Linked DNA regions of Callithrix jacchus. The protein of the gene in region 1 interacts with the protein of each later gene in a pairwise test. Links are inferred from orthologs where the notes say so. Each region holds a gene or a part of one and is shown on either strand. Other genes may lie near its edges. The genes, in order: TK1, CRMP1 and UNC119.

What was found.
Region 2: the proteins of TK1 (region 1) and CRMP1 interact in a two-hybrid assay, tested with the Homo sapiens proteins (2 studies listed by BioGRID and IntAct). The link is inferred for Callithrix jacchus from reciprocal best matches to the Homo sapiens genes TK1 and CRMP1.
Region 3: the proteins of TK1 (region 1) and UNC119 interact in a two-hybrid assay, tested with the Homo sapiens proteins (2 studies listed by BioGRID and IntAct). The link is inferred for Callithrix jacchus from reciprocal best matches to the Homo sapiens genes TK1 and UNC119.

Annotation. Positions count from the first base shown.
Region 1 is NC_133506.1:133,957,619-133,964,467, reverse strand, and holds the end of TK1 (thymidine kinase, cytosolic), read left to right. Parts: intron 1-4,579; coding exon 4,580-4,669; intron 4,670-5,007; coding exon 5,008-5,127; intron 5,128-5,226; coding exon 5,227-5,418; 3' UTR 5,419-6,051; downstream 6,052-6,849. UniProt on the Homo sapiens protein: Cell-cycle-regulated enzyme of importance in nucleotide metabolism. Catalyzes the first enzymatic step in the salvage pathway converting thymidine into thymidine monophosphate.
Region 2 is NC_133504.1:186,030,215-186,037,063, forward strand, and holds part of CRMP1 (dihydropyrimidinase-related protein 1), read right to left. Parts: intron 5,073-6,849; coding exon 4,893-5,072; intron 2,170-4,892; coding exon 2,004-2,169; intron 1-2,003.
Region 3 is NC_133506.1:105,061,955-105,068,711, reverse strand, and holds the end of UNC119 (protein unc-119 homolog A), read right to left. Parts: intron 6,255-6,757; exon of another isoform or gene 6,193-6,254; coding exon of another isoform or gene 6,102-6,192; intron 4,522-6,101; exon of another isoform or gene 4,481-4,521; coding exon of another isoform or gene 4,450-4,480; intron 3,903-4,449; coding exon 3,789-3,902; intron 3,330-3,788; coding exon 3,227-3,329; intron 3,074-3,226; coding exon 2,901-3,073; intron 2,627-2,900; coding exon 2,514-2,626; 3' UTR 1,930-2,513; downstream 1-1,929. UniProt on the Homo sapiens protein: Involved in synaptic functions in photoreceptor cells, the signal transduction in immune cells as a Src family kinase activator, endosome recycling, the uptake of bacteria and endocytosis, protein trafficking in sensory neurons and as lipid-binding chaperone with specificity for a diverse subset of myristoylated proteins.

The DNA.
Region 1 (6,849 bases):
GAAGGCCACCAACTGTCTAATGTTTGGTTACCTCTGGCCAGGCATTCTGTCTGTTCTCACTCAGCACAGTGTGTCCAGGGGAAGCTTTGTTTTCATTTATCCAGCTTTATAACTGGTATGCCTTGTCACTTCTGGGGAAGAAATGAAGCCGTTATCACTTCAGGTGTTTCTCTCCTTATCCCTCTCTGAGGTATTCTGGGTTCCATCTTCCAAAGTGTGTTTTGTTTCAATGACTTTATACCTGCTGCTCTAATTCAGAATCCTCCATTTTGTTTGACAAGTTACCGTGGGGTTATGTTTAAGTTTATGCTGTTCCTTCCATTGTGTTTCCAAAAATCTTTCCTTAGACTTTTCCAGATTTTTCTGTTTCCTCAGAACACATTCTCCGGTTGTTTCTGGGTTAGTTTCTGTTATCTTAGTTTTCCTTCCTCTACTTTGGAGTTTTTTAAAATTGTTGTTAGTTTATCACAAATGAATCAAACTGAAACTCACTTCCCAAGGGACTTAGCAGACTTAACCCCTTAGGTACTTTTAGGGCTGCCTCTAAGTGTACAGTGTGATGGTTTAATATAAACACAATAGGAATTTGTTTCTTGCTTACAGACCCCTACATGGTTCCAGCTGATGGGGAGGCTGCCCAGAGGTGGCTTAGTTCGCCCTTGCTGGCTGCATACAGAAGCGGAAGAGGAGAGACATGGCGGAGCCCCTGGGTGTGATGTTTTCATGGGCCAGGCTAGAAGTTGCAAATGTCACCTCTGCTGATCTTTCAAAGATTAGAATCTGGGCATAGGGCACAGGGTCACCTTTAGGTTTAGTCTAGTACACCTAGTCTAGTTTTTTTTTTTTTTTTGAAACAGTCTTGCTTTGTGGCCCAGGCTGGAGTGCAGTGGCACGATCTCAGCTCACTACAACCTCTGCCTCCCAGGTTCAAGTGATTCTCCCACCTCAGCCTCCCAAGTAGCTGGGATTACAGGCTCCTGCCACTACGCGCAGCTATTTTTTTGTATTTTTAGTAGAGATGGGGTTTTGCTGTTTGGGCAGCCTGGTCTTGAATTCCTGACCTCAGGTGATACGCTTGCCTTGGCCTCCCAAAGTGCTAGGATTATAGGCGGGAGCCACCGCGCCTGGCCACACTTAGTCTATTTTTATACCCTTGACTGTATACTTAGTCTAGTTCTATACCTGGAGGAAGAATAAATGGGTTTGTTTGCTGAGCGGTGGTTCAAGATCTCTACCCATCCTGCCTCCCAGCATAGAGCCAGGCTGCTCCGGCTGGAAAACCCTGTCCGAACATCCCAGGGACTGTCCCCCCAGCTGGGCAGTCCTGTGTTCCTGGTTCTGCTCTTGCCCAGCATTCTCTAAATGTCACAGCCCCAAATTTCATTCTCATGGGGAGGCTGACTGGTCCCTTACCCTGTGGAGTTGGACTCCAAGCTGTCGGTGTCCGCTGTGGGTTCCAGATCACCCAGTAGCTGACAACTGCTCCCCGCTTGGGTGTGCCCATTCCATTTCTGACCTTCAGAGGTGCGCTTCTGGGCACCCCCATACCTCTGCATCCACAGAGATGTTGTTGCCGCCGTGTGGTTGAGAGACTCCAGGCGAGAAGGTGGGCCCAGGCTGGGAACAGGGCTGCAATTTTTTTCTTTTGCTCCCAAACTGTGGCCTTGGAATGCATCCAGGGATTCTGCATCAGCTTTGGGGGCATGGCCCTCTCAGAACAAGGAAGAGCAAGGAAGCTTTAGCTTTGGCGAGGCTCTCCCTGCCTTCAGACCTGCCACTGTGAGTTGCTCAAGAGCTCTGCTCTGGCTCTGCATAAACCTTGTTGACAGATGCTGACCCAGACCCCCCCCAGGCAGAAACCTTTCCCTTCTCCTTCCTCCTTCCGTAACATCCAGGAGCCAGCATATTAAGTCCTGTCCCGTTCCAGCCTGAAGGAGAGATTTCTCAGTCTACTTCCTCCCTGGCCCACAAGTAAAACTTTAGTTCATTCAGGGAGTGCTTATTACACCCCATATCCAGACATCAGCCTTGTGCCATTCTGTGTGCCCTTGTTCCTTTCTAGAAGTTTAGCATCTTCCCACTGCAAGCATTTCTAGATGGAGGAGAGGGGTTCCTAGTATGGGGACCCACAGAAGGACTGTCCTTCCCTCCTTCATTGTCTACGTGGACAGTGGAAGAAGCCCAGCCTGACCTGCCTTGTTCCTGTTTTCTGGGTCAGCAGGGAAAGCCTTTCATAGAGTAGCCACCATGCCATCCTGAGGAAGGCCCTAGGTCAGAAGCTTCTGTGCTTCTTTGTATGCCGGGTGAGGCACAGTGGCGCTCACACTGCTTTGTAGAAATTGTTGGCATGCAAGAGAGAGTCATGTGGAGACCCCAAAGCCACTAGCTGGGCGTGCTGTGCTTCAGATGCTGGTGGTGGGTGAGCACCCTGGCCCCAGCACCTCCCCGATGCGTTCATCAACAGCTGTACAGTGTCTGGCGGGCCTGCAGGGTTGCTTGGCAATAGTGGAAGCTCTGATTTTTTTAAACTTTTTTTTCTGGCTGGGCACAGTGGCTCACACCTATAATCCTAGCGTTTTCGAAGGCCAAGGCGGGCGGATCACTTGAGGTCAGGAGTTTGAGACCGGCCAGGCCAACATAGTAAAATCCCGTCTCTACTGAAAATACAAAAATTAGCCGGATGTGGTGGCACACACCTATTATTCCAGCTACTTTGGAGGCTGAGGCAAAATCATCACTTGAACCCGGGAGGCAGAGGTTGTGGTGAGCCAAGATCATGCCACTGCACTCCAGCCTGGGTGACAGAGTGACTCTGTCTCAAAAACAAACAAACAAAAAAAACCAAAAAACGGTTTTTTGTGTTTTCTGTTCTACTAACACAAGTAATACAGGTTGAATGTTCCTTATCGTAAATGCCTGGGACCAGAAGTGTTTGGATTTCTGATTTTTTCAGATTTTGGAATATTTGCATATATATAATATAATGAGACCTTGGGAATGAGTCCCAACTGTAAATACAAGATCCGATATGTTTATAGATGCCTTATCCACATAGCCTGGGAGTGATTTTATATGCTATCTGGTAATTTGGGCATGAGCCAGGGTTTTGACTGTGAGCTGTCCCATAAGGTCAGGTGTGAAATTTTCCACTTGTGGTATGCACTCAAAAAGTTTCAGGTTTTGGAGCCTTTTGGATTAGAGACTTCGTAAGTTTAATCTGGAAAAACTTAAGAGTCTGGCACAGTGGCTCATGCCTGTTATGCCAGCACTCTGGGAGGCCGAGGCACGCAAATTGCTTGAGACTAGGAGTTTGAGACCAGCCTGGGCAATATGGTGAAACCCTGCCTCTACCAAAAATACAAAAATTAGCCAGGAGTAGTGGCACATACCTGTAGTCCCAGCTAGTTGGGAGGCTGAGGTGGGAGCATCGGCTGAGCCTGTAGGTCCAGGCTGTGAGTCATGGTTGAGCCACTGCCCTCCAGCCTGGGCAATGGGGAGCAAGACTGGGAGCTGCCTTTTTGTGACATGTGATGAATCCTCAGAGAAAAAGAGAGAACACGTGCATGGTGGGGCAGGGCCCAGCGTGCTGGAGTCTCTGGGTTTTCTTTCTAGAGGCCCCTGCAGTCTGCTGAGCGCAGTCGGTTACATCAGGCTTCACCTGGATCCCACTGGAATTTTTCCAGTTATCCCCTAGTCCTCGCCTTGCTAAGCCCTAATGTCTTAATAACCTCAAACCTCAGTACCTGGGCTGAGGAAAGCCTGAGGGGCTCCTGGAGAGAGACCTGTGCCCAAGGACAGGAACATCCCCACTTCAGCCAACCCAAAGGCCAGTCTGGACATGTGAACTCAACCAGCTAAAAGCAATATGACTGATTGATGAGAATCACCAAAGCACTTGCTAGAGTTTCAGCTTCTCCCTGGGCCAAAGTGAAATTTGATGTAGGCAGTAAATGTGCTCTGTGCCGGCCCTGTATTTAGAAGGCTGTGCTGTGTCATCCTGCTCTGTAAATGGCCAGGAGGACCCCCACACCTTCTCAAGGCACATTACCTGTCTAAAAAGGCGAGGGGGCAAGAGCACAAAATGCCCAGCTACTCACTGAAGTGCATGTGTATAACTTAGTGCCTTCTGTCCTTACACAATAGGACCTTTCTTGCTATCGCTCAGTGAAGAGGAAACAGGTTCAGAGAAGTTAACTCACTGCCAAGGTCACACAGATAATGGTGTCCGCTCGGAATAGCGGTGTCCGAGCCCCAGGCAGCAGATGTCTGGCCCCAGCCTTTGGCCGCTGCAGTGTTAAACAGCACAGCAGGTGTGGAAGTCTGATGCTGAGTCCTGGGTACCTGGACTCGGAGCAGAAGCTGGCTGCAGAGGGAAGAGGCTGGGCAGTTGTGGATGTGCCTGTCATCTGCTGGGAGGGCACCCATGGACAGTCCCCAGCCTGAGGAACCTCATGGAAGAGTTAGAGTTGCTCCAGGCTGAATGGCGGGAGTTGTCTGATCTGGCAGCGTCTCTGCTGGGACTTCAGGGAGCTGCTGCTAGGGTGGAAACTCTCACGCTTTCTCCACCTTCCCTTTCCAGTTCCCTGACATCGTGGAGTTCTGTGAGGCCATGGCCAACGCCGGGAAGACAGTAATTGTGGCTGCACTGGACGGGACCTTCCAGAGGAAGGTAAGGTGTCTGATCCAGGTCTGGAGCGTGATTCCAGGAGGGGAGGGGGCTTCTGGGTGGCCAGGGCCCAGCCACTGTAGGGGCACAGTTGAGCTGCTCAGACCAGTCCTTGCCTGAGCCTAGGGACTCCCTGGTCTATGCAGACCAGGTGCCATCTGTTGCGGCAGGTGGTTTGAATTGGCAAGGAGACAAAGCCAGGCATGGTGCTCTGGGGGTTGGGGGAGGACTGAGGTCAGAGCAAACTTTCCTGGCTTCAGTGCTTATGAATCAAAGGGTTTAAAAGAAAACCCCGCCTGGGAAGGTAGCCGAGCACCCACTGTCTTTCCATGGGAGTGCAGGCATTTGGGACCATCCTGAACCTGGTGCCGCTGGCCGAGAGCGTGGTGAAGCTGACCGCAGTATGCATGGAGTGCTTCCGGGAAGCCGCCTACACCAAGAGGCTTGGCACCGAAAAGGAGGTACCTCCACCTGTCTTCCCTGCGGGCTGGTGGGGTGGGGGCGTGGCTCTGTCTCCTTCCTGTCCCGGCCCTTCACCCATCCCCTGTCCCTGCGGCTAGGTCGAAGTGATTGGAGGAGCAGACAAGTATCACTCTGTGTGTCGCCTCTGCTACTTCAAGAAGGCCTCAGGCCAGCCTGCCGGGCTGGACAACAAAGAGAACTGCCCCGTGCCAGGAAAGCCAGGGGAGGCTGCGGCTGCCAGGAAGCTCTTTGCCCCGCAGCAGATTCTGCAATGTAGCTCCACCAACTGAGGGGCCTGAAAGGGCTGCTCACTCTCTTCCAGCCGCTGCCGCCTAGCGGACACTGCTCTCCACGCTACCTGCCTGCTCCAGGAGGGTGACCACATCTTGGCCTTTGGGAAGTCTCCTTTGTGCAGCTGCCCCACCTGCCACGTGCTCTCTCCTCTCCTGCCCACCGGCCTGCTTAGCTTCCCTCTTGGCTGCTGGGACGGTCGCCCAGGCTGGACCTGGCCCTGCCTGGTGACCTAGGATCTGGCATACTCCCCCTGCTTGGGGTGAGGGACAGCCACACACTGTTGACATCAGCCTGCTTCTTCCCCTCTGGCTTTCACTGCTGAGTTTCTGTTCTCCCTGGGAAGCCTGCACCAGCATCTTTAAGCCTTGGGCCATAGAGGCTTAGGCCCCTCTGCCTGGGATAGGCCCCTGCCCTCCCTGAGGATGGCCTGGACTCATGCCCTCTTGCTTCCTTTTGGGCTCAAAGCCCCTCCTACCTCTGGTGATGGTTTCCACAGGAACGACAGCATCTTTCACATGGGTGGCACCAGCCTTGCTGGGACTTGGATTGTAGGTGCTTGTCTCTTCGTGGGAAGAGGGCAGGGTCAACGTCTCTGCTGTAGTGTATGAAATTAACTAACTTAAAATTCACTGGTTGGTAGACGCTCATTTCTCTTTAAGCTGGGTTTCCCCGGGTCTCATGGACAGTGCCAACTGATGTGGGTGGGGATTTTCTTCCAGGTCTTTGTTTTGTTTTGAGATAGGTTCTCTGTCACCCAGGCTGGAGTACAGTGGTGCAGTCTCGGCTCACTGCAGCCTCTGCTTTCCCAGTTCAAGTGATTCTCCCCACTCAGCCTCCCTAGTAGGCAGGATTACACGTGTGTGCCACCACACCTGGTGAATTTCTGTATTTTCAGTAGAGACGGGGTTTCACCATGTTGACCAAGCTGGTCTTGAACTTCTGATCTCAAGTGATCTGCCTGTCTCAGCTTCCCAAAGTGCTGGTATTACAGGCGTGAGGCACCGGGCCTGGCCCCCAGATCTTTCTGTAGTAATACTGATCTCATAACCACAGCCGGTTAACTGAGAAATGATCGTGGGGCGTGTCCTAAGGGGAACATCATCTGCCTTCCTGTCTGGGCCAGTGTCAGGACAAAAATGGGTGCACAGGGGAGCCCAGGGCCCAGCTGGAAGGAAGGATGGGGGCGCATACCTGCCCGCTGGGACTTCCAGGTCAGTTTTTGTTTGTGAAACACACGCTGGGTAGTTCAGGAATCAAGACACCTCTCAGCTGTGCCTCAGAGATGGGCTGTTGGCAGCTCACTTGGACTCAGGCATTGCTGGGGTGAGGTGTGCCCTAGGCAGGCAGGGTCACCGCTGCCAGGGCCTCCCCAGCCTCCTCCTCCCCTTTGCTAGTGATGTGTCCCAAGCCAAAGCCATCGGGTGAGG
Region 2 (6,849 bases), on another chromosome or scaffold:
GGAGTTCTGTCCCCTAAAACCTCATGCTGAAGTTTGATCCCAAAGTTGCAGGTGAGGCCGAACGGGAGGTGTTGGGTCATGAAGGGTTTGGATCACTCATGAATGGCTTGATGTCAGCCTCACAGTCATGAGTAAATTCTTGTTCTGTTAGTTCTCAGAAGAGCTGGTTGTTTCGAACCTGGCACCTCTGCCTTCTTCCTCTGGCTTCCTCTCTTGCCATGTGATCTCTGTACATGCTAGCTCTCCTTCACCTCCTGCCAGACTGGGTAGCCTGAGGCCCTCACCGGAAGCAGATGCTGGCACCATGCTTCTGGTACAGCCTGCAGAGCTGTGAGCCGAGCAAACCTCTTTCCTTTAGTTACCCAGCTTCAGGTACTCCTTTATAGCAATGTAAATGGACGGAAACAGACTACTAACTCAGGCTACGGCTCTATAATGTAACATATACGCAGATATTTAAAAGGGCATCTGTGAGGTTACTGGTACTGGAAAGCATCTGTGCTGTTGGTAGCAAATGAACTCACCTAGCAACCTGCCACGAGCAGGCAGACAGCAGCGGTGCTGCGGGCTTCAGGAGGACTCACAGTGAAACTGGGAGAACAAGGGTGGGGAGGGGCCCTTGCAGGAGGCTTTGGACTTCATTGTTATTCTTGCTCTAAGAATAATGGGGAGGAGGCTTTTCTGTCCATGTTTAATTGCAACTGTGCAATGCTTAACTGTGTAACTCCAGGACAGAGGTCCAGTTTGTAAACTCCTCGAAAGCTTGCATCTTATTATATACCCAGACAGCTTTTCCCAATATTGAAGCCAATCCCTGTTTTGCTCATTGAGCCTCACATGAATATCAGAGTTCTATTTAGGGTCTATTTTGTGCAACAATATTAAACACTGGAAGCTCTTCCATGAAAGTCTTACTGAGACTGAGACGGATAGGGAGGCCTCCCCGATTCTGACTCTCTGCACAACCACTGAGTCAGACACTTCCTGAATGGGTAAGAGGCTCTCCCACCACACAATCTAAATCCATGCTTCACCAACTCTCTCTCGCTTTGCCCCTTCCACTCTCTCTTGTGCTAAGCCTATCAGCTTTCCTGACCAGGAGTCAGCCAACTGCTCCATTGACCGAATCCAGCCCGTCGCGTTTTTGTAGTCTGTGACCTGAGAACAGTTTGTACATTTTCAAATCACCATTGAATATAACATCCTAGGCGTTACCTTTTAGCTCAAAAAGTCTAAAGTATTTACTAGCTGGCCCTTTAAGAAAGAAAAACATCACCATATTCGTAGTGCCTAGTGCGGCGTGGAACCCAGGCAATGCCTCTAAGCGTTTGCAGGACAAATTACCAATTCGACTTTCTCAACGTGTGCGTGCCTGCCCTCATGTGGCCATCTGACGAAATCGCAGACACGCCGCCCTGGGGCCTTAAAGGAGCGATCAAGTCAATATCTAATTTGGTTCCCGCACATTTGTTGAGCACCAAGTCCTGGCAATTTGACACTGGATCTCTTGGAACTTCAGTTTCCTCTTTAAATGAATAGGTATAACATCACTCTGTGGAGTAGTGAGGCTAAAATAAAATCACGGGCTGTGAAAGTGCTTGAAGTGGGCACACAGGCTGAGGACAGGTGCCCTGCCAATGGCAGCTACTCTCATCGCCTGTTCATCCCCATCACACCGTCTATCTTCACAAGGAAGCGTGGGAAAGTGTCCCCAAGTGTGTGTACGGATGAGCCCTGCGCCAGTGCTGGTGCCACTCTTTGTAAACCCAGGTCAGATACCACCATGTTGCCTCTTGAACGTGGACCCCCCTCTGCTTGGTGACCATGCCAGCCCACTCTGTCCCACCAGTGAGAACAGGCTCTGGGTGAAGGTGTGACACACTCCCTTCCCTGCTTCTTCATCAAGTGTCCAACGCCACGTGTCCATTTCCTCAGAAGCAGCAGGAAGGGCTGGGGCTGAACTGCTGCAGGGGTGGGAAGCCTGGGCCGCCACTGCTTCCTACCTGATAAGCTGAAGTTGGACTGGTGGAGGTTTCTGATAGGTGGGGGCTGGTGTTTGGAAGGCGAAGATTTGGCTGAAGGAGCGGGAGTTGCATATTTGGGTGTAGCTGGCACCTCGTACACAGGACCATCATACATGCCCCTGGAAACCCCTTGCAATCCAAAAACCTGACAGAGGAAGGGAGAGTGTGATTGAGTGTGATTGATCGACACTGTGTGCATGTGCCATTCTGGGCAGACAAAGCAGAGCCCTGTGGGCAAGAGAGAAACCTGAGATCACTTCGAATGTGCATGCACACACACAACACACATATGCACCCACACTCACACAGGCATTCATACACATAAGCATGCATAGACACACACATCACATACATGTACACAAACATGCACCCACACACATGCACACATGCACAATAACAAAACATGCCTATACAGTAGTATACACATATGAACATGCATACACACACTTAAACACATTCAGATATTCACACTCAAAGGCATATACTCACATATGTATACACAAGCATATGTGCCCACACACACACATATACACACCCGTATATACACTTACATCCACACTCATACACGTATGTACAAAGCATCATGCGGAAGAACCCCAGATCCCTTCCAAGAATAAATCACTTTCCCAGACACTGCCACCTACCCCTGCCCCTGGGAAGGACCCCTGAATCCCAGACAGGCAGCAGCAAAGGGCACATCTTCATGTACGTTCTTGCAGAAGTCAATGGTGAGGCAAAGATTCCGGGGGCAGGTAGTTTGTTGGGAAATGGTTGCAGAAAGGGGGCAGGAGTGGGGAGGTGAGACAGGGAGGGAGAAAACAGTATAGACAGGCACCAGGAGTGGGCCAGGTCTGTGGGCCACAGGGCTGGGGATGCTGGGTGGAGAGCACGCCTCTGCACTGGCCTGCAGAAGGATGGGGAAGGAGGGCAACAGAGCCACAGCCCCAGCCCTACTGGGAAGGGTGGTGGGGCAGAGACCCTGAAAGCAGCAGGGTCCTCCTTCCAGGCAGGAGGATATCAGCCTGCTGGGAACTGCCGACAGCAGCCCTGGTGCCCTAGGGATGGCCAAGGGTGAAGGGCATCTGCTCCAGGCAATGGAGGACAGCCCATGTCCAGGGACCTGCACAGGGTCCCAGCATGGGTCAGTGGCAGCGCTCTACCCGTACATGGGGCTTCGTCCTCTCCAGCAGGTGACAGTGCCCTGACCCCAGCCCCAGCTCCCTCCTCTGCAGCAGGTGACAGCACCCTGACCCCCAGTTCTGCCTCTCCATAGGAGAAAGCCTCAAGTTTAGCACCAAGCTGAAAGACCCAGCACCTACACATCATGTCGATGGCCCTCCCCTCTCCCTGGATCCCTGCTCCTCAACTCCCTGGCCTCTGCCCACTGTCCTCTGTGGCTGCTGCACTGCCTCCTGGATAAGGCCCTTCATCACTCCCTGAAACTCAGGTGGCCAGAGGCAGGCTCTGGTGCAGGTCTCTTCCCTCAACCGGCCTAGCTCCTGCAGGCTAAGGAAGGAATCCCTGTGCAGTGAGACCCCCGGTCCCAGTGCTCCAGCAGACTGCTGTCTTGGCATTTGGGGTCAGACATCTGCTATCACGGAAGCTGACTGTTAACCACAGGCCTTGGGTTCAGACCAAGAAGGAAACGAAGCCAGCCGAGGGGTGTTTCTGCCTCTTCCGTGGGTGTCCCAGCCGGGGATTCCCATGAGTCTCCTGTCCTCAAGTGGTCTGCTGCCTATGCCTGGCCACGTCTCAGATCTGACTTGTTTCTGCCCCAATGCTTGTTTCCTCGTCTGGTGCGATTTGGTGTCTTTGACCTGCATGCTACACCTTACGGGAGCTGGCAGAGCCTCCCAGTTGGGGTTGGAGCCTGGGAAAGCAGGGAGCCCTCTGGACTTTTCCATCTCAATTGGTGCCACTTATTCAGCACACCAAGAGCAGGACCACGCATGTACACACATGCTCACATATCGCGTGCACACACAAACACAGCTCAACACATGCTCACAGACACATACACACACTCCAACATGCACACACATCCCCATATGCATGCACACACGTGCATGCATGTACACATGCACACATAACACACAGACACACACACATATGCACACGTGCGTGCACACACACACACATGCAGCTGGCCTTTCTGGCAAACATCAGCTGTCTCATGGGGAAAGCAGCTGCCATAGGGGTGGGAGGGCCTGGGGAGGGAAGATGCTGGCCACGCGCGGCAGTCTGTCCCAGCTGAGGAAGTTATCCCCTCCAGTTGCTCTGTTAGGAATAGAGCCTGCCCCTTGCTTTTGACAGATGTCCTGGGATCAGTGCTTAAGGCGGTTCAAGGAAAACAAGGAACAACAGGGCAGAACCACCAAGGGAAGAGGGACAGGAAGAAAGGGTGGATCTGAAAGGAGCCCGACCTGCAGGAGGCTGGGGTAATGCCTCTCTCCAAAGGGCCAGGCCCGAGGGGTTCTGGGCTGTGACTCTGGCTAAGCCCTTCACAGCTCTGGGCTGCAAAAGCAGGATCACAGCAGCTCCAGTGAGTGTGCAGGATTCCTTAAGATGACACAGGACATTGCCCAGGGCAGCTCGGTAAGCGTCCCTCCTGTGACCGACCCACCCACCTTCATGGGTGCACGCCCCTCCACAGTTGCAAAACCCTGGAACTTGCATGTCCTCATTCGATGCTCACTCCTGTCCTCAGACAGGAGCCCAGGGCAGCGTCCCAACCCATTTAACAGAGAAGGAAAGGGAGGTTCCCAGGGCTCTGGCATTATTAACTCCGCACACGTCAGACCTCGATTCCCCAAGAGAAGCTGTCGGTTCTGGTCCCATGGTGGGCCCGTCCTCTGAGGACACACTCACCTTATTCCTGATTTTGACGCGCTGGTAGAGGTGCTCTGGAAACGGCTTCCGCGGGATGAAGCGGCCCATGCCCTTGTTGACGTTGATGTTTCCATCTTCAAACACAATCTTGCCCTGGCTGATGACCACTAGCGGGGAGCCGTGGCACTCCATGCCCTCGAAGATATTGTACTCCACCGCCTGCACCAACAGCCTCAGCGTTACTTCCCTGGCTTGCTCTGCTCAAAACCCGCTGTTTGCAACAGCGATTTTGCCTAACATTATATCACAAGCATGTTCCAATGTTTTTTTCTCTCTCTCTCAAAACACCTTTTACTGACTGTATAATACTCCAATGGCCCAGAATATCTATAACCAAGAACTCCCCGCTGGGCAGGTGGGCTGCTGGGGGCTTTCTATAATCAAATCAATACAGTCCTGGGGCATCGCCAACACAAAGGGGTCCCCGTGGGCTTAGGCAATGTGGTTGCTTTGACTATACTAGACGCAAAGATAAATAAAATGTTCTTTATTTAAAATACTTCTTTAAATAGTTTTTCTCTAAGATAGTTTTCTAAAATCAAATTACTGGGTGAAAGAATATGCGCTGTTTTAAAGCATGTGTTGCACATGGCCAAACTCTTTTCCCAAGGGATCAGACCAGCTGACACTGTACCAGCCATGAGGGAGAGACATTTCAGGGTCACCCCCTCCAGCACTGGGGAGTGCCATTTTTTTCTTTCTCAGCTAATTTGAAAGACAAAATAACATTTCCTTTAAAACACACATTTGGCCGGGTACAGTGGCTCATACCTGTAATCCCAGCTACTCAGGAGGCTGAGGCATGAGAATTGCTTGAACCTGGGAGGTGGAGGTTGCAGTGAGCTGAGACTGCGCCACTGCACTCCAGCCTGGGGGACAGAGCGAGACTCTGTCTCAAAAAAACAAAACAAAACAAAAACAAAAACACATTTCTTCCATTACTCTTAAAAAGTGAATGCCTGACCTTGTCTGTCCAACTGCTTTTTATTTATTATTTTAAAAGTAGGTCATATAGACAGTTGAAAAAAAATCAAATGGTAAAAAAGATATTTGACAGAACGGAAGTCTGTCTTCTACTTGAGTCTGAGACATATGTCTCGAAGAGTTCCTTCTATATCTCTATGTATGTCCAAGGTATGAATAACTGTCTCACGTATACACATCTCTACACAGACATGTCTCACCTTGATTTTTCCTTACCTCAGCAATTGTTCTGTATCAGCACACACACAAAATAGTTTTACACTCTTATACCGTATTTCATCAGGAGGATGTGCTACCACTTACACAGCCAGTTCCCAAGGATAAACAGTTGGGTCCTTGCCATGCCTCTGCTAAAAACAATGCTGAAACAGATTTTGCACCCACAATCTGCACACACGAACACGTTTCTAGATGTGGAGTTTGACGCCAAAGAGTAAACGGATTTTCACCTTTAATAGATTTGCCCTCCAAAAAAGGCAATGCTAGTTCCCACTCCCAACAAAACTGTGAGCTTACCTGACAGACTTTGGTAAACAGTATCTATGTATATTAAACTCCTGATCTCAGTTGCTGGCACAAGTGAAAAACAGCATCTCTGGGTTGCTATTTGCATTTGTGACTGACATTGGGTCTTTTTAAATCAACACGTGCCATTTCTGTGTTTCTTACCATGTCACTGTGTATTTGCACATTGTTCTATTTCTCAGGGTCTTGGCGTTCTTCTGATTTCTGAAAGTACACACTCACTGTTAAAGAATTTATCCTTTGTTACGTGTGCCGCAAACACTTCTTCCCTCCCTGGTCCTCTGCCGCTGGAACTCGTGAACTAACTGTTTTTGCCACACAGATTATTTTGTATAGTTTTTGTGTAGTTGATGTTCAAACAGACCAATCTTTTCCTTTACCATTTCTAAGTTTTGTGTTTTGCTTAGCAAAGTCTTTTCCCCTCCAA
Region 3 (6,757 bases), about 29 Mb from region 1:
ACAACAGTGTCCGTGGAGGACCCCATGATCTCAGCCACCATCACAGCTTCAGCAATCACCTTGTGGTCAATGGCCTCGACAATCACCACCTCCAGCCCTTATTCCCCTCCTGGTCTCAGGACCTGTCTTTCCTGTCTTCTGGTCATTTCCTCCATGCCCCAGCATGTCTCAATCTGAGGTCATCATCTCCCACTGGCATCTCCCTGATCCAACCTGCATTCTCCAGCCCAGTGATGGCACCCCAGCCGCTCTAGCACCCAGGCCACAAAGCAGGCAATCAGCCTCGCCTCCTCCCTCTCTCCAACCCACTCATCCCATCAGCCACCAGTCCTTGGGATATCACCTCTTAAAAATACCAATTTCATCTGTTTCTCTCCATCTCTGAGGACACTGATCTAATTCAGGTTCTCTCTCTCTCACCAGATTCCTGCAGTACCCTCCTCATCCTCACTGCCCCCTGCCCTTAGTATGGTCGCGCATGGAGCCAGACTGCCTGGATTCAAATACTGGCTCTGCCACTTCGTAGCTGTGCAATATTGGCTAGGCACATTAACCTCTCTGGGCCTACATCTTCTGTAAAATGGGCATAATGGTGGCTTCCTCAGAAATGACCATGTTTTATGAGTCAACACATGTAGAGCACCCAGCCCCGGGCCTGGCACTCAGTAAATCTTGGCTATTATTCGTCTCATTCTTTCCAATCTGCCCTTCACTCAGCAGCCAAAGATAATCTGACCAGGTCATGCCCACTTAATCCTCCTCAGGGGTTTCCCACCTCTCAGAAGCCCCGCTCCTGAGGCTCTGCAGATGTGTCTTCCTTTCACATTACATTCACTCTTGAACACACCTAAGCTCACACCCATAATCCTAGCACTTTGGGAGGCCCAAAGCAGGAGGATTCCTTGAACCCAGGAGTTCGAGACCACCCTGGGCAACATAGGGAGACCCTCTCAAATAAATAAATAAATAAATACACCTGATAAATCTTGCCTCTGAACCTTAGCTTAGGCTGTTCCCTGTGCCTAAGCACTCTTTCCAACTCTTCCCATCACAAGCACCTGCTCCAGTGCTGCCTCCTCTAAAACTCCTCTCCAGAACCCTCCACACAGAACAACTCTGTTGCTCTCCATGTACCCAGTCTTTTTTTTTTTTTTTTTTTTTTCAGAATTCCCAGAATTCAGTGCAGATCCTAGCCCCACTGCCTGCTCCCAGCAAGAGCTTCACAGAATCAAGCGGAACTCCAGCACTTCTGGGCCTCCTGGGGCCACAGCTCCTCAGCCCAGAGGGTAGGTCAGCTCCAGGCATATCTGGAGGGCCTGGAACTGTAGGGTATAGGGTGTGTTCTCTGCCCACCTCAGTTCCTGAATTTCCTCCATTAAGGAGCCTCCTCCTCTGAATCTGGGGAGGGGGTGGAGGCTGAGAGCAGTGTTATGTGCAGGGCTGCCCCGGCATGGGGGCTCCCCAAGGCAGCTGAGGACAAGGAGATGGCTCCAGGCCTTAGCCAAAGCCCTGCCACCTTCTGTGATAAGGGCTAAAAGCACAACCCAATGGTCCTAGTGGCCTCTGGGGTTCAGGGAAGGTAGCGTGGAGGACAGGGCTACCTCCTCCACACCTTCCCTCCCACCCGGGAATTCAGGGCCTTTGTTTCAGCCTCTGTTCTGCCAGGGTTGACTCTGACTTTGGGCCAAAGCTTCCCCTCTCAGGATCTGGGTCTCCTTCATCACAAGAAAGACCCTCTCCAGTTCCATCCTGTTCTAAATGCTGACTCTAGGTGGTGTCAGAGCACAGAGAATCAGAGGTCAGGAAGACCAAGGGGTTAGAGTGCACTGGAGCGTGGGAGGCAGGAGAAATTTTTTACTACCTTAAGCACATTCCTGCCTATCCCCCCTCCCTTCTTTGCCCATCACATAGAGGCTGGCCACACCTGAGAACAGAAAAGGAGACAGTTTATTGAAAACTATATACAGCTGGTCCAGCTCCTACCATGGGCTGCAATCTCAGCCAGTCCCGCCTACACCTCAGGCAGTGTCCTGGCCCCTCATGGGAGGAATGGGGCTGGGCCTAGGGCCCAGACTCCGTTGGGTGGCTTGGCAGCTGGAGCCCACCGTGATCTTTGTAAAGTACAACTCTAAGTGGCCTGAAGGTAGTGGGCAAGGGACAGGGCATGGATCCCTGCCTGACCTAGTCACAGCCTTGATAGGGGAACACTATTCTGAAACTGGGCCCAAGGAGGGCTGAGCTAAGTTGTCTGGAAGTCCTGATTGCTCCTCTCATAGGCCTTCCTAGACATGGAGGCAAACAGCCTCCCTACGACCCCACCCCACGCAGCAGGCCCCATGGGCTTCACGGGCTTGACTGGGACACCAGGTACCCTTCCTCCCAACACTGACTCAGGGTCCAGGTCTCCTGGAGCACTTCCCAAGCAGAGGACTTGGGGTTGAGGGGTGAGCGTTGGGGAGGTCACAGCTCCGGGCCCAGAACCGGAGCTTCCTGGGGTGGGGCCAGCCGTGGGGTCAGGGTGTCCCGCTATAGGAATAGTCTGCTTTGTTGTGCATCACCAGCCGGTCATCCACGAAGTAGAAGCTGTCAGACTGGGTCTCATATGGGTGGCGGATCATCTCGCTGACTGCAAGAGAGGCCCAGCCAGGCCGGGCAAAGGTCAGGAGCCTGATTCCGACCACTGCAGGGGCTTTAGGACTGGGGTTCAAGGATGGCAACAACTTGAGATATCGCCAGCCTCTTTCTCTACAGATGATATGAGACTGGTGCCAGACACAGAGCCCCAGGGTGGGGAAAAATGGGGTCAGACCCAGAAGTCCCCCTCCCTCCCATAGCTCAGTCTCTACACACCCCCCCCACATCCCCCACATCCCCACTCGCAGAAGGCCCTGCCCACGCACTCAGCTCCTCGGAGAGAGGGGGGAAGTCATAGATGTGTTCGCAGGTGTTCTTGCTGCTGGGGATGCAGAAGCCAAAGTGGAAGTCAAAGCTTTTGAGTAGCTGGTTGCGGAAGTAGTGCCTCTCGATCATTCGGAAGTTGTTGACAGGCTTGTCTCCCACGGTGAACTCCACCCTGAGCACAAGAAAAGGAGGCAAGGTTGAGTCTGTCCTTGAAGTCAGCCAGCCAGACAGGCTCAGGACAGGCCACCCCTAGGAGAGGCTGAGAAGGGCCCACTCCCACCCTCTCCCTCACCCCCTTGACCCCACCTCCTGCCCAGTGACTCACGTGGCTCCCACCTGCCTCAGACGGAGGAAGGCAGGTGTGAACTGGTAGCGGACAAAGCGCCCAGCATTGGGGTCCAGGTCCCGCCGGCTGATGGGCAACCGCTCTGCAATGTACCCCCGCTGGGGCTCAGTGGGCTTCAGGCTGGGCCCTTGTCCACCCAGGGTTCTACCCTCAGGCCCCCATCTGTCTGAATTTTTTATAACTCCCCAAGAAATTCTGGGGCACACTGAGGGGTCAGACCATTGGCCGAATAGCGCCACCTAGGGGTTCTAGGTCTGCAGGTTCCCAATTGCCACTGTGGTTCCCAGGACCCATAGGACTGCAGTTCCCAGAGAGGCCTGTAGAGGTCAGGCTGCCAGGGACCGAAGGGACAGGGCTGACTTCGGAAGATGTCCAGCCTCAAAAACAAATGGGAAGGAAAAGAAGGGGCCCCCTCTGCCTGCAGACTCCTGAGAATGCTGGGGTCCAAGCCCCAGCTCTGTGGACTCCTCTGTGGCCCAAGGAGTCCCTGGCAGCCCAGTCCACAGCTCGTGCCTGTCAATGGCTCACCCAGCCCACTCACCTGAAGCTGGGGGCTTCTTGATTTCAAAGAGGACAGTGCCTGAGTCCATGTCCCGAATCTTAAACCTGACGAAGTCGATCTTGTAGATATTCTCCTCAGGGGAGCAGAGGTAGTCTAGGGGAGACAGGCAGCTGAGCAAAGAGGGGGCCCCAAAGCCCCTGCTGCCAGGTCAGCTTGTGTGGGACCCCAGAGTAGCTACCATCTTCTCATCCCTGGGATCACTGCCCTCTGGAAAGAGGAACCTGAGCCCCTGCCATAGGGGTACACCCCCAGTGTGGAAGAGACATCACTCAGCCATGGGGATCTAACAGGAAATAAGGAGAGCCATCCCAGTGGCCTCTGGGGCCAATGAAGGGCAGGGCAGAGAAAGATGGAGGACAAGGCCACCTCCAGGACACTCTCCCTCCCGCCCTGGAGTTGATGGTCCTCATTCTGGCCTCTGCTCTGCTAAGGCTGGCTAGGTGACTTTGGGAGAACTGGATCTCCAGCCTGGTGGGAGCCTCTCCTCTCATTTGGGAACAACTTCCTGCAGTCTGACCTGCCTCTTCTACTGCAAACTCAATCTCTCAACCTCTCTGTTGCCTTTGAGAACCACACTGTAAAGGGGACCACACAGCTCTGCCTGGTAGAGTCACAGTCCTTCTCTGGAGGATACCCCTACCCTTGCCCCACGGTTGCCCCTGGCATGACATCTAGATGTGTCAGGTGAGGCTGATGTTGAGGGGACTTTTCCTGACATGGGTGGTGCTGGGGCAGGTGAACAACCCTTCCCTGTTCCTCCTCCCCTCCCAACCCCCTCCTCTCAGTAAGAGGCTTACACCAGCCCAGCTCCCTTAAGCAGCTTAACCAAAGCTCTGCTGACTCAAGCCCAGAGCCTGGGATATGGCAGGGGAGGAGGCCAACTTCACTCTCATCCTTTGTTGATCTCCAAATGGGAGGAAGTCTTAGCAAGCAGAGGGAACCCCCTTAGAGGTCATTTACACAGCCCTGGCTCTGAGCCACCTCCCCCCGCCCCGACCCCCATAGAGAAGAGAAAGTAGCCCCCGACCCCCATAGAGAAGAACACAGGCTAGGCCAGGAAGAGGGTATGGCAGGTGCAGCAGCAGTTGTGGAAGGGGTAAGGGGAGTCCTCAGGCCCAGAAGGGGAACCAAGAACAGTGGGAGGCCCTGTCTGAGGAAGCTCGGGGACCTCCAGGGCCTTATCTAACCCTCGCAGCTCTTGCAGCAGCGACTTCAAGTGCTCAGGGAGGCCCTGGCAACAAAGAGAGCTGAGAGGTGCGGGGAGGGGCTCTGGTGCTGTCAGCCTGCGCAGCATCACATCCTCCCCTGGTGGCCTATCGAGGCCCAGAAATCACCCTCCAGGCCCCTGGGCCACCTCCTAGTCCTCTGGGGCAGGAAGACGAAGTGAATATAAAGTCATTTTCTCTTCCCCAGGCCCACTTCTTCCCCAAGCCTGATAGTCTCCTCCAGGAAGCCCTTCTGGCAGTTATCTGTTACCCCGGGGCCCAGTATAGACTTTATACAGCTTGGGGAAGAGGCAGGGCCCTGAGTCTACTACAGCCCATGGGTGGGGTGGGGGGAGAATGGAAGTGGGCCACCCCTACCTCACCTTGTTCACCCTATGTTCACAGAAAGTAAGCGCCAGTATAAAGACACAGAGAATGTACAGAGCATAGGGAACGGAGGTGGCAGAGTGGGGAGCAGGATCCTAGTGCCCAGCTCTCAGATCCATAAGGCCTTTTTGCCTCCCATTCTTCACTTTCGGAGCCTCTCTCAATTAGCAACAACTTCCTGCAGTCTGATCTCAGTGCCTTCTACTGAAAACTCAATCTATCAGCCTGTCTGTCCTTAGAGGAAGTGAAGAACAGGGATGTCCATAGCTCAGAACACCATGACCATTCCTTCCCTTCTAGAAAGGATGAGGCCTGGGACCCAGGGTCAGGTCAAAATAGGGGCAGAGTGGCCAAGGGCTCAGACCACAACTGCTCTATTCCTCCCAACCATAAATAGCTTCCTAAGCTGGATTCAGGGCCCAGTAATCTGGGAACAGCAAACCTCAGACCTGTGTGATTAGGGTCAGAAGAGACCAGGCAAGGGGTGCCAGGGTGGAAAGCCCTGGAACTCGGTTCTCAACTCCTGTACAGGAAGGGGTTCCCATAAAGCCCTTCCCCCGACTTACCCTCCACAGATGCCCAATCTCTAAGGGCTAAGAATTTCCTCCAAAGTAGGAGACAAATGGCAGTACATGAGCTGGAAGCTCCCTCTAGTTGCAACATAAACCCCCAAAGTTACTCAGGACTCAGTCAGTCTCACCTCTGGACTGCCTCTGAGAAAGTTCTGCCCCAGAGCTAAGCTGAATCCTAAACGCTGCTGCTGCAGATTGTAGCCCAACTGGCTTCAACATCAGCCTGATCCAGGCCTCCTCCCTCCATTGATGCCTGCTTGGGTAAGGGAGCTCAGCACTCTGGGGGCCCAGCCAAGAATGCCTGCTGTCCAGCTCAGAAAGGAGGGAGGAGTTGGCCCCCCAGCGACTCAGGAGCACCAGCTCAAGGCTGCCTCCCCTCCACAGCTATGTCTGGGAGCCCTGGGGCTCTGCTGCTTTGGAAGCTCCAGGACTCAGATCCACTTCAAAACCTGCCCCTCATACCCACAGAGAGGAGCCCCAACAGTTATTCTCACAAAGGGGGCCAAGGCAGGTTGCTGGTGGATGAGGCCAAGGTGGAGAGCCACTGTCTCTCCATGCACTGCTCATCCTTTGAGGCTCAGCCAAGGCTTCTGCTATGAGGTTTCCTAGCCCTCGTTCCCTGCCTATGATGACCCTCTCCCCTGCCCTGAATGCCAAGTTGTTTGACTCCAGGCAGCAGCCATGTAGGGCCCAAAATACTACTGACCAAAGAGCCCAAGGTACACAGCATGCATAGATGCCAGGCACTGTACAGAATCAGAGGACTTATCTCCACAATAACCTT